3 linked regions of the Coturnix japonica genome follow. The protein of the gene in region 3 purifies or fractionates together with the protein of the main gene of each other region. This does not show direct contact. Links are inferred from orthologs where the notes say so. Each region holds a gene or a part of one and is shown on either strand. Other genes may lie near its edges.

Evidence for each region.
Region 1: the proteins of WWC1 (region 3) and PTPN14 purify together in Homo sapiens (affinity purification with mass spectrometry; 7 studies listed by BioGRID and IntAct, counting the BioPlex papers as one, with this or other methods). This does not show direct contact. The link is inferred for Coturnix japonica from reciprocal best matches to the Homo sapiens genes WWC1 and PTPN14.
Region 2: the proteins of WWC1 (region 3) and AMOT purify together in Homo sapiens (affinity purification with mass spectrometry; 3 studies listed by BioGRID and IntAct, with this or other methods). This does not show direct contact. The link is inferred for Coturnix japonica from reciprocal best matches to the Homo sapiens genes WWC1 and AMOT.

What each region holds. Positions count from the first base shown.
Region 1 is NC_029518.1:18,594,462-18,598,112, forward strand, and holds part of PTPN14 (tyrosine-protein phosphatase non-receptor type 14), read left to right. Parts: coding exon 1-1,020; intron 1,021-3,127; coding exon 3,128-3,271; intron 3,272-3,651. UniProt on the Homo sapiens protein: Protein tyrosine phosphatase which may play a role in the regulation of lymphangiogenesis, cell-cell adhesion, cell-matrix adhesion, cell migration, cell growth and also regulates TGF-beta gene expression, thereby modulating epithelial-mesenchymal transition.
Region 2 is NC_029519.1:12,291,304-12,294,954, forward strand, and holds part of AMOT (angiomotin), read left to right. Parts: intron 1-1,370; coding exon 1,371-1,520; intron 1,521-3,140; coding exon 3,141-3,331; intron 3,332-3,651.
Region 3 is NC_029528.1:7,291,588-7,295,238, forward strand, and holds part of WWC1 (protein KIBRA), read right to left. Parts: intron 2,861-3,651; coding exon 2,696-2,860; intron 2,476-2,695; coding exon 2,383-2,475; intron 1,884-2,382; coding exon 1,653-1,883; intron 670-1,652; coding exon 548-669; intron 30-547; coding exon 1-29. UniProt on the Homo sapiens protein: Regulator of the Hippo signaling pathway, also known as the Salvador-Warts-Hippo (SWH) pathway.

The sequences.
Region 1 (3,651 bases), on a different chromosome or scaffold from region 3:
AACAAGCCTGTTACCCCCTCTGACCAAATGAACCCTAAAAATGCTGTGCAAAATAAGACAGCAGCCAGTGCCATATCGCACACGGTCAGTACACCAGAACTGGCTAATATGCAGCTGCAGAGCAGCCAGAATTACAATACTGCTCATATGTTAAAGAACTATCTCTTCAGACCCCCACCCCCATACCCACGCCCACGTCCTGCCACCAGCACACCTGACCTTGCAAGCCACCGGCACAAGTATGTCAGCGGGAGCAGTCCCGACTTGGTCACACGCAAAGTCCAGCTCTCAGTAAAGACGTTCCAGGAGGACAGCTCACCCGTCGTCCGTCAGTCACTGCAGGAGGTCAGCGAACCCCTCCTTGCAGTGAAGCACCATGCGGCTGTGAACAAGCGCCATAGCTTGGAGGTCATCAGCAATATGGTACGTGGTATAGAAGCCATGGCATTAAAAACCTTAAACGCTCCTCTACCACGCAGGAACACCTTGCGGGAGCAGGTGCAGCCAGAAGAGTCGGTTCAGATGGGGCATGAAGTTCAACAGGTTCCTCATTATCATCACAAAAAGACATTCTCTGATGCCACAATGCTGATACACAGTAGTGAAAGTGAAGAGGAAGAAGATACCACAAAATCTGTGACACAGATAAGAGCCCTCCATGAGAACATGAAGTACAGTGCTCAGTTGCAAGCTGCCTTGGCTAGAATACCAAATAAACCTCCTCCAGAATATCCTGGGCCTCGAAAAAGCGTCAGCAACGGAGCCCTGAGACAGGACCATATTAGCACTTCTGTGGCCGTAGCCAGGGCCAAGGCCATGAGGCCAGGGCCCTCCAAGGCCATCAGTGTGTCTCGGACAGATCAAGTGGCAATAAATGGGTCCTCGCTTGGGCCCTCTATCTCAGAGCCTGACCTCACAAGCGTAAAGGAGAGGGTGAAGAAAGAACCAGTCAAGGAAAGACCTGTGTCCGAAATGTTTTCGATTGAGGACAGCATTATAGAGAGAGAAATCATGATGAGGGTAAGTGTCTTCCTTTGTTGCAGGGACTTCTTGAGAATTCGTAAGCATACAGGTCTGTTTACATGTCCAATAGCTGTTGGGTCAGTAAACTATGGGGAACACGTAGGTGGGAAAACAGTGTTTTGCTTAAAGCAGACCTGGTGGGTCAGCTACAATTATATGGATCTGGACTTCTATTTTTTTTATTGTACTCACTATGTGATAAATAGTTATTTAAACAATGGATGAATTTACAATAAAAACTGTGTATTTAAAGACTTCAGTGCCACTGCAGGCAGTGGGAGAAGTGAGGTGTGCTTGCACTTCAGCGACTTGTATTTTGAAGTTGCTTGTGCGACTTGTGGCTTGAAGTTATGCACTGAGAAATACAACTGCAGTCACAGAAAACAAAGCTTTTTGTTTTTTGTTTTGGAATTTGGCTTTTAAGCAGTTCCTGAAAGAAATTAACGAATGAGCCACAGAAGGAAATAATTTGGAATAGACTTAAATTTACATACTACTGTATATTCAAAGAAATTTAGAAAAATTATTTATAATGCTTCTTGTTCATTAGTGATTCTTACACTTATGTAATAGTTAGCAATTAAACTTGGACCTCTACGTCGTATCATGGAAACTGAGTTTACTCCATATAGCATCTTAACCTTCAAAAACAGATTTCCAAATATAAAACATAGTATTCTGTGAGTGAATACTGCAGATGTTGGTGAACAAGAAGCGTTACAGGCTCTTTTGAACTTCTGGGGAAGTAAAGAAAAAAACTTGCTGAGATGCAGAAATCAAAAGGAATTTTGGATGTGAGTGAAGGGTGAGCTGAGAGGTTAGAGGTGCTGAAGTGCTCCTTTGAATAATGACACAAATCTGCCTTTGGTCAAAATGTGTTTTAGTTGTAAATATATTTTTTTTTCGGAAGTAAATTAGTTGTGTTAGCATTGAGCTTTTGAGGTGGTTCCTAGTTCAGGTGCCTTAATGCATGCAAATGTTCCCTTATTGTAGGAACCCCATACTACACTAGTGCTGGTTTGAAAACCTTAATCTTGCAAGAGCAGGCTTTAGCTTGTAAAGAGTCATAAAAAGTAAAAATGAAAAAAAGCAAAAGGAAAAGGCTTGTGTTTTCCTCCCTCCTGAAATAAGAAAAGAAAGCAAAGAGTTTTTGGAATTTTGCTCTGCCTTTCTGTTTGTTTTTACTCAGTGTTCTGGAGGAAAGTGCTGGTGGTGAAAAAGCTCACAGGCTTCTGAAAAAACACACTGTGTCTGAGGGTCTTCAGGTTCAGTTTACTATTTCCAAGAGCTGAACTTGGTCTGTGTGGTGACCACAGCTTTGGTTCTCAGCATGCTGAGAACCAGGCTTCCATAATGCTCATCTCTTCATCCAAATCTGGGAGAAAGAACTGTGACAGGAATAGAATAAAACATTCGTGACTTGGTTCATTCTGGAGATTGTCTCCTTTCTCTGTGACTCCCAGAGACATTCGGAAGGCAGCAGGATGAGCTGAGAATTTGTACTCGGGTTTGCCGCATTGTAGCATAATACAAAGCATGAATGTGAGAAACAGTACCTCCCTAAACACACCTCAATTTTTAGTGTGAAATACATCACAGGTACTATTTGAATCACCATACCTGGGTGCATCAAAAGACTTCACTTTGAGTATTAATACAGGATGCTTTTTTTTTTCTCCTCTAAAATACATTTGTATGTTGGAATAGATTAAAATTATTGCTTTTAAAAAGACGCCCCAGGTGTCTTGGCTACAGTAAAGCTACTTGAAATGTACAGGGTGATGTGTTTTGTGTCCTAAGTTCAGAGCAGTATTTGCAGAAAAATGCTCAAGATTGTATTTGTGTGTCTTCTGATGGCACGTAAACTGTATTAGAAGCTGGGATTGCTCCTTTGAAATTAAAATTCTGTGCTCGTGTAGGAGCAGGCCTTTGAGGAATAACAGGAAGAATAGAGGTTGTATTTGAATTTATGATGCTAATGGTGATCATCTGCATTCCTTGGCCAGAAAGTTGCAGATTTTGGAGATTAAAAAAACATTCCAGCATTTTACTGGCATTATAAATAATCACACAGAGATGAAAACGTGCCTTTTCTTGCCAAAAGAATCTAGAAAAGCAGAAGATGGCAGGCCTGGAGGCCCAGAAGAGGCCCTTGATGTTGGCAGCACTGAACGGACTTTCAGTTGCTAGGGTTCCAGTGCCGGAGGACAGCCAGGATGAAGTAGCCAAGGTGCCAATGGATGAGAGGGTAAGATGCAGGCTCATGAAATGTTCATTTCCTTTGTTCCCAGCAGTACGAAGTTTCTAAAATATTAACATTCGATTTAACATATGAAACAATTTCTCATAACCATTTTTAGAGTCATTAATGTCAAAGGTCTGCAACTAATGCTTGTGCATCTTCTGATGCTAAGTGTTTTAAGTCTCTTCAATATTCACATAAGTCAGTGGAAGCTGGGGCTGTGCACCATTTCACTGCAGTCAGCATCATGTAAGATCAAGCTGTAAATTTAATCTTTTGCACATATTTTGCTTGATAAAGGAGTATTTAAAAATATCATCCTTAGAATATTTCATGTTCTGGTACAACTAACAAGTTCAGGTAATGTCTGAGCGAATTAAAGAAAA
Region 2 (3,651 bases), on a different chromosome or scaffold from region 3:
ATTACTCACTCGTTACTGTAACTTTTATTATAAAATAGCTGTTTGGGGAAAATCCTCTAGGGCAGCAGCATTCATGCTGTGAGGTTAGGTGCCTGCTGACTTTAGAAAGAGAAGAAAGGGATACCATGTCTGGGTTTAATAGTGTTTGGAGACTTCTCTCTCCGCAGTCTCTGGTTGCCTCAAGGAACAGGAGTCTGAAAAGGGAAAATTTTGAAGAAACACGTGATAAGACCTTTCCGGAGGGAAGGCACAATGTAAGAACAGCTCGTTTCATTCCAATCAAAGCCCCACGAACCTGGTATCCTGTTTGCACCATAACTGCCAGCAGATTCCTAGGGAATGCAAAAATAGGACCAACAAATAATACTTTCCCAGAATACTTTCCACTTCCAAGAAGGACTTCCTGAGCTCAAAGTAGTGTCCTTTAAAATCCCTCAATGGACTTTTCTTCCATGAGGCTGTAGAGCAGCTCTTTGAACCCGCGTAAGAGAATCTGTGTTTTGTGCTGTGGTGCTTTGCCGGGCTTTGTTTCTGGCTGCTGGGAAATGTTGCCTTCTTTCTACTATCGTATTTCAGAGTTGATGACATCCACAGTTAAAAAAGCAATGCCCCGGATTTGCTGCAGAAGGTCAGTTAATGGCAATTATTAGAGTAATTTCTATAGCAGAAAACCCTGTCCCTAAATGTGCAGTATTCTGTCCGCTGGGACAGGGTTAGGCCTGGGGTTGGTTCTGATATTTTATTCATATTTTAGTTAATTTCTGTTCTGTGTGACCTGTGAAGTGACCTTTCTAAGATGGTTCCTGGGGGTCTCAGCATGGAAGTTTTCATTGTTGTGGTGAGGTAGGATAGCAGTTGTTTGCAAGATGGGCGATGAATAGCAGTGGCAGGAGTGGAGCAGGCCCCCTCAGCTCACAGCAGGCCAAGATGACAAGTGAATGCCAGGACTGCCAGCATAAGCCAGGCTGCCTCTAGTGCATGCTTTCATCTTGTTCATTATTTTAGTGCTGTGGGGCTGGAATAGGATACCAACAGTAGCTTTCAGTGTTGCACTGAAAAAGCTGTTCCCAACTTGTAGGTGTCTGGGTATCAGCATTCCAGATCATGACATCCCATGACAGACTTGGCATACCTTGATTTCCTCATCACTAGCATGGAGATGCTTGAGGACAAGAAGAAGAAATAAACCTAGCAGGAAGGTGGACATGGGAAGGACTTGTAACATAGGGCTTGTTTGAAATCCAGGGCACCCTGACAGCAGTAATGTGGACATGTTCCTCCTGGCTGGCGGTGCTGTTTTCTTTAAGGCACATGGAGCCAAAAGTTCCCCTCATTTAACTTATGCTGTTTTTTTTTCCCTTTTGTTTCAGCTCAAGAAGAAGCAGGTCTATGTTGAGAAAGTAGAGAAGATGCAGCAGGCCTTGGTTCAGCTGCAGGCAGCGTGTGAGAAACGGGAACAGCTGGAGCATAGGCTGCGGACTCGGCTAGAGCGAGAGCTGGAATCTCTCCGGATGCAGCAGGTATCCTGTCTTTCTCTGGGCCCTGGTTAGGCTTCTTGTAGGGTTTGACACTACAGCATGTGCAAAAGAAAGGCAATGGTTTTTTCCATCTTGTAAAATCAGCACATTTTTTTCTCTTGAAAACTATTATGCTGACCTATGTTTTTACTTGACTTAGTTATTCCATTCTAACCAGAAGATTTAGATAAAAGAGCAGCAGTCTGTGCATCCTGTGATAAGAGAGTCATATAGGTAACCTGGTTATATTCATTCTTATATTATTTTTAAAGTATTATTTACAGTTTGAAATTTTAAGTGAAAGTCAATAACAGCTGGACTGAAATGAAAGGCCCTTCAGAAGGCTTTTATATGAAAAAAAAAGTACACAAAATGCCAAAACCACAAAACCAGTTCAGTAAATGCAGTTGTTGGAAAAAGGAGCTTCATGTAGGATATCTTCTTGGAATTGTAGTGTGGGTCTTTTTCAGTGGAGAAAAAAATGAATAAGAAGTAGCTTGTGCAGATTTCCAGAATAATTTACAAACCTGATGGTTCATCTATATTCTAATTCATGTTTAGTTTCAGGTTAAATTTGGTCCTCAACTGTCACATCTGTGAGAGAACAGATATTTACATAACAATCATATTTTTGTAGTGCTCCTAAAAGTAGGAGTTAACATAATTTGGTAAATTTTCTTTCATGTTACCTTTGGGAGATGAGGTAATCTGAACACCCGACTTTTGACTTTGAGCTTTAGTCAAAGCAAAAAATGACCTTTATCGTCATGGTTTAAGAATTCTGAGCTGAATGTATAACAGGTTACGTGCCCCATTTGTTTTCAAGTCAAGTATCACACAAATCCCAGATAAGATTTTCATATAAAACTATCCGTTTTATCTTTGAACTTTCAGCACAGCAAATCTCCATTTTTTTTCTATTGATTTATGAGAAAAGGTTGTCTGTCTTCCAGATCTTGTGTTAGAACTAAATTATTTTTAACCACCAGCTATTTAGTCCACAGGTATACAAAGATCATATTGATTCAGTATCATGCTATAAAATATTTTGGATTTTTTTAAAACTCTGCTGAATTATGTACACTAGTTCGTGTTTTGCTGGAATGGTGTTGGAAGGAAGTCTGAGTTATTTAAGCAGTATGGACAGGTTAGAGACATCAGACCTGAGTAGCATATCCAGCTCTCTGACATGCTCTTGTGGCTTTGCATTTGAGAAAAGGCCTTAAGGAGTATTCTCCATCTCAGATACCCACTTGTTAGTATTGACCAGCTCTGGAGTAGCACAGGAAGCGCTCTACCACAAGTGCTGTGACTTAAACTGTCTTTCTAGGGAACAGTTGGTGCAGTTTTTGGTATTTTATGGCTTTTAAGCTTCAACATTTGGATGTAGAAGGAGCCTGGCTTGCACTATATGAGCTTGTTTCCAGGTTTGGACATAGGGAGGCTGTGCTGCCCCGCAGGTGTATTAGGTCCAACTCTAAAGGAGACCATTAGATCACGCAGTCTGCCTCACATTCACTCTGGGGGGTTCTTGCCCCTGCCCCACAGAGAAAAGCACACCAACCAATCCTGAATCTAACAGGTGCATCCTGAAACTTCTCTTTGCTTTGCTTTTCAAATCAGCGTCAGGGCACATCTCAGGCTGCCAACGTCTCTGAATACAATGCCACAGCGCTTATGGAACTCCTGCGCGAGAAGGAAGAAAGGATTCTTGCTCTGGAAGCTGACATGACCAAGTGGGAACAGAAATACCTGGAGGAGAGTGTGATGAGACAATTCGCTTTAGATGCAGCTGCAACTGTGGCTGCTCAGAGGTAAATTAAACTATTCATAGTACAGGGATTATTATTTTTTCCTGTTGAATGTCATATTTTCCACAAAACAGTGTTGTCATATCACCCTCCCAAAATACCTCTGCTTGTGGTCTGCACATCTTCTCAAACCTCTGCATATAAGTGGAGCTTGGCTGTTTTGCCTGGGAGCTGTGTGACTTAACTATAAGAAATTTTTTGCAAGGGAATGTTCCCCAACATGCAAGAGCCATATTCCAGGCTGGAGTTCTCCTAAGCCATTCCTAGAAGCTATTGCTTCAAAAATAGATGTGTGAGGAGCGTTGTTGGGGTTGTTTTTTTTC
Region 3 (3,651 bases):
TGGGCCGGGTGAAAAAGGCCATTTTCTCTCTAGAAGGAAATGATCAGCTGTTAGTGCCATTCAGGTATGGCCAGAAACATACATCATCTGCATTAACAGGTATCATCTGCATTAACAGGTATCATCTGCATTGACATGTATCCCACCACGTGTCACCACCATGCACAGCAGCACACTCTCTTGAGCTACACCTTTTACACACACACCAGAGATCCCTGCAGTTAAACCTACAATACTGAACTAATCAAAGAAGCCATTTCAGAAAGGCTCGTTGTTGGCATGGTGAGCAGTGTTACTTAAGGGAGCAAAAGACTGCTTTCTGCATTAAAATAATGCTTGGTGCCAGGCGGGGAATGCTTTGGGCTACTTCTAGCTGCTTTGAAATCACCTGCAATGCTGCAGTTAATTTCTGACTTTCAGACTGGATTTGAGCATTGAATTTGTTTTTTAGTAGAACAGTTAACTACTTGTTCAAAATCAGCTTTATCAACACCATTATCATCCACAAAGTCAGTTCTTACCCCCTTCACCCAACTATCCTAATTACCTGAATGACTGCACTTCCAAAGGCTCCTTCCGACTCTGCCCTCGGAGCCGGTGAACATCCTTGGCAGCAGCTCTCATCATTTTATCAGCTTTGAGCTCACACTTGTGTTCTGTTTTTTCCACCTAAAAACCAAAAGGAAGCTGTTTGTGTTTCCGGGAGGAATCGCTCTGAATAAATCTGTAAACACAGCAGTTTTACCTGCAGGTCCGAAGGGTTTGAGACCTGCTAACTCAGGAATCAGTAGCTACAGAAGGTAAATTGAAGGCTCGTCAACCACTGTAACCAGGAGAGCTTTTTCTAAGGTCTTCAAGGCCCTTGCTAAGAATTATGGCTGTCATCCATGTCTTCTTTGTATCATGATTTTTCAGCCAACACATCAGCTTATGCAAGAACATGGTAATCTATTTTCCAAGCTCTATCCCAGAGGACTTCTTTTTTTTCCCCCCCATCTACATACTATGCCATCATAACTTGAAATATTTCTGTCTGCTGCCAAAGGTGCTTGTGATAAACCAGGAAAGCTGAGAAGCGGCCCTCTCACTAGGGAAAGGAACTTGTAGACAGAGTAAGGTTAAGTGCTAACCATTGCAAACTGTGGTTCAGGAGGCTGAACTTTACAGAACAGATGGGATTTGTGACTTTCCATACATGCACCTGAACTAAGATAGGAAATCTCTGTGCTGCACAGGTTCAGGTGTAACAGGATGCCACAGGAAGCTAAAGAGGCAAGACAAATTCCAGCAAGGTTAGAGGAGGACTCAGCTCAGAGGATTTCAAACATCCATGCTGGACATATACTAACTAGAAATGACTGTCATTTTAAGCTCAGGATCATCATCATTACTGAGCCATCATTTCTCTTAGGAGAAGCAGATTTAGATGCTGTCCTCCTAACCTTTGTCTTTGCAGGCACAGACTCTGCAGTCTGTGAACTGAACATTTGAGAACAGCAACTTCCATCATCAATAGCTTGCTTGATGGAATCGTAAGTACAAGACACGAGTGACCATAGTGCTAAAGTTTAATTTCCAGGTTGTCTAAAATCCCAATTCTCAAATCACACTTCTCAAATGTTAAATAAAATCCAAAGGCAGGTATCACTTACTCGTTTTTCCACTAGCCTCAGCAGCAGTCGAAATCTCTCATCATCCTTCACCCACTGTGGTAACTCTTTCTCACCCTGACTCTGAGCTTGTTCTAACTGTTCCTTTAGTTCTCTCAGCACAGAGATCTCCTGAACAAGCCGATCATGCCAGGTTTTTGAAGCCTGCAGGTCCAGCTCCAGGTCTAGTGAAGTGCGAATCAGGCGCTCTGTACCAACAGACTTAATTGAAGGCTGAAAAAAAATTATGGACAATAGTGAGAACTGCCCAGACTGCACCCCTTCTGAAAGGCCCAATAATTTTACATGACCCATTCTTGTTCCTCCAACGCTTCTTAGTGCAATAAACAAATAAATACTTCTCTGAGTAACTGAAGCAGCTTTCTTTTCACCTTCATCCCCAGCTGATTGCAGCACAAGCACTAAATGCTCTTACAATAAATGCAGCAGAAAAATTGTTGCCACTCCTACTCCAATACGATGGAAGATATCAGGAACAATCTTTCTAAACTTATTTCTTTAAGCAAGCTTTAGAGTTAAACATCCCTGTCATACTCCAGCATTACTAGGAAAGTTATCTTTAAGAGAAGTATCTCACATGCAAAGAAAAGTTTCTGAATCAAAACACTTGGCAAATGATTTGTGTTTACAAAACATTCCTCCTTTTAAACTGTTTTCACTTCTTTTTTGTGCACGTCTGTACCAGACAAAAAGCGAGTAGAGATGCTTTTACCCGTTTCACTCTGACGCTTCGTCTCTCCATTGCATTTCGAACAAAGGGGGTTTTTTTGGATAGCGTTGAACTGTCACTATCGCTGCGATTCAGCTGAAAAATGGAAGAGAACATGTTTCCATCAAACATACAAGTACATACTTACATAAGCAGCAACATCACAGTGTAAGCTGTGAGGTAAGCAGACCTTTCAGGTTTTGTAAAGACTGCAGCGTCAGGACTCAGTAAAAAATTGAGACTACGCAAACGATGACATCATTCCCTCGTTAATGAAAAGCAGTATTTTATAGATCCAGGATTGCATTTTCCTTACCCGACACACATACTGACTTTGTGGTCCTGGTGAAAATGTTTTGGAGCGGATGATGGTGCTACCCCTGACAAACTGAGTTTGTGGTGGATTTGCTGCTCTTTTGTCTTTTGGACGCACCACAGCAGAAGACTGTGCAAGGCTCTCTGTGTTTGTCTCTTTATCCACCTGAAAGACAGATAGTGCAGTGTAAAATGCCAGCTTGCCATCTGACCAATGATACATCCAGGGCTGTCTGGCAGCCACCTGTGATAGATCTGTGCTTTCAGCCCAGAGGCATCGCACTTAAACCAGATACTCTTTAGCTCCTTTCATACACGGTGCTCTGACACTACGCTGTGAACTCAGCAGCTGCTACATTAACCGTATTGCTCCCTAAGGGCTCCGTGTCCATTGATTGCTGTGGACACAATTGAGTCCAGTGAGCTTTGCTTGTTGGATCCAGTACATCAACGTGAACCAGCAATTTCACTTACAAAAAGGGAGTTACAATTTTGAAGACCACTCCCTTACCTTTTGTGCATCTGCAACAAGCACAGATATAAAAAGCTGTATGTACATGCACAGAGAGCAGATCAAGAGCACATTAATTATGCTTGTGAGAATGTAGGAACACTCAGAATTATACAAGGTCAAAGCCACAGCCACATATTAATGAAAACAGTTTCCAAGAATAACAAAAGAAGGTGTGAAAAATGCTTATTAACCATGGGAAAAAGTTGTCATGCAGTTATTTAATATTTCAGGTAGGTAAGCATTTAAAAATCAATTATGAGCTTTCAAAAAAACTGCTGCAGCTCTGCTCAGCTCAACAGCAACCCAGTCCACTACGCAGCAGCATTTTCTCCTTCAAACTGAAACCTTAAATAAAATAGGAGCTCCCTTATCAGGAGATGAACTGAAAGGAGAAAAACATTGACACTGACATCCAAATATTTGGATGGTGCAATTAAATGGGA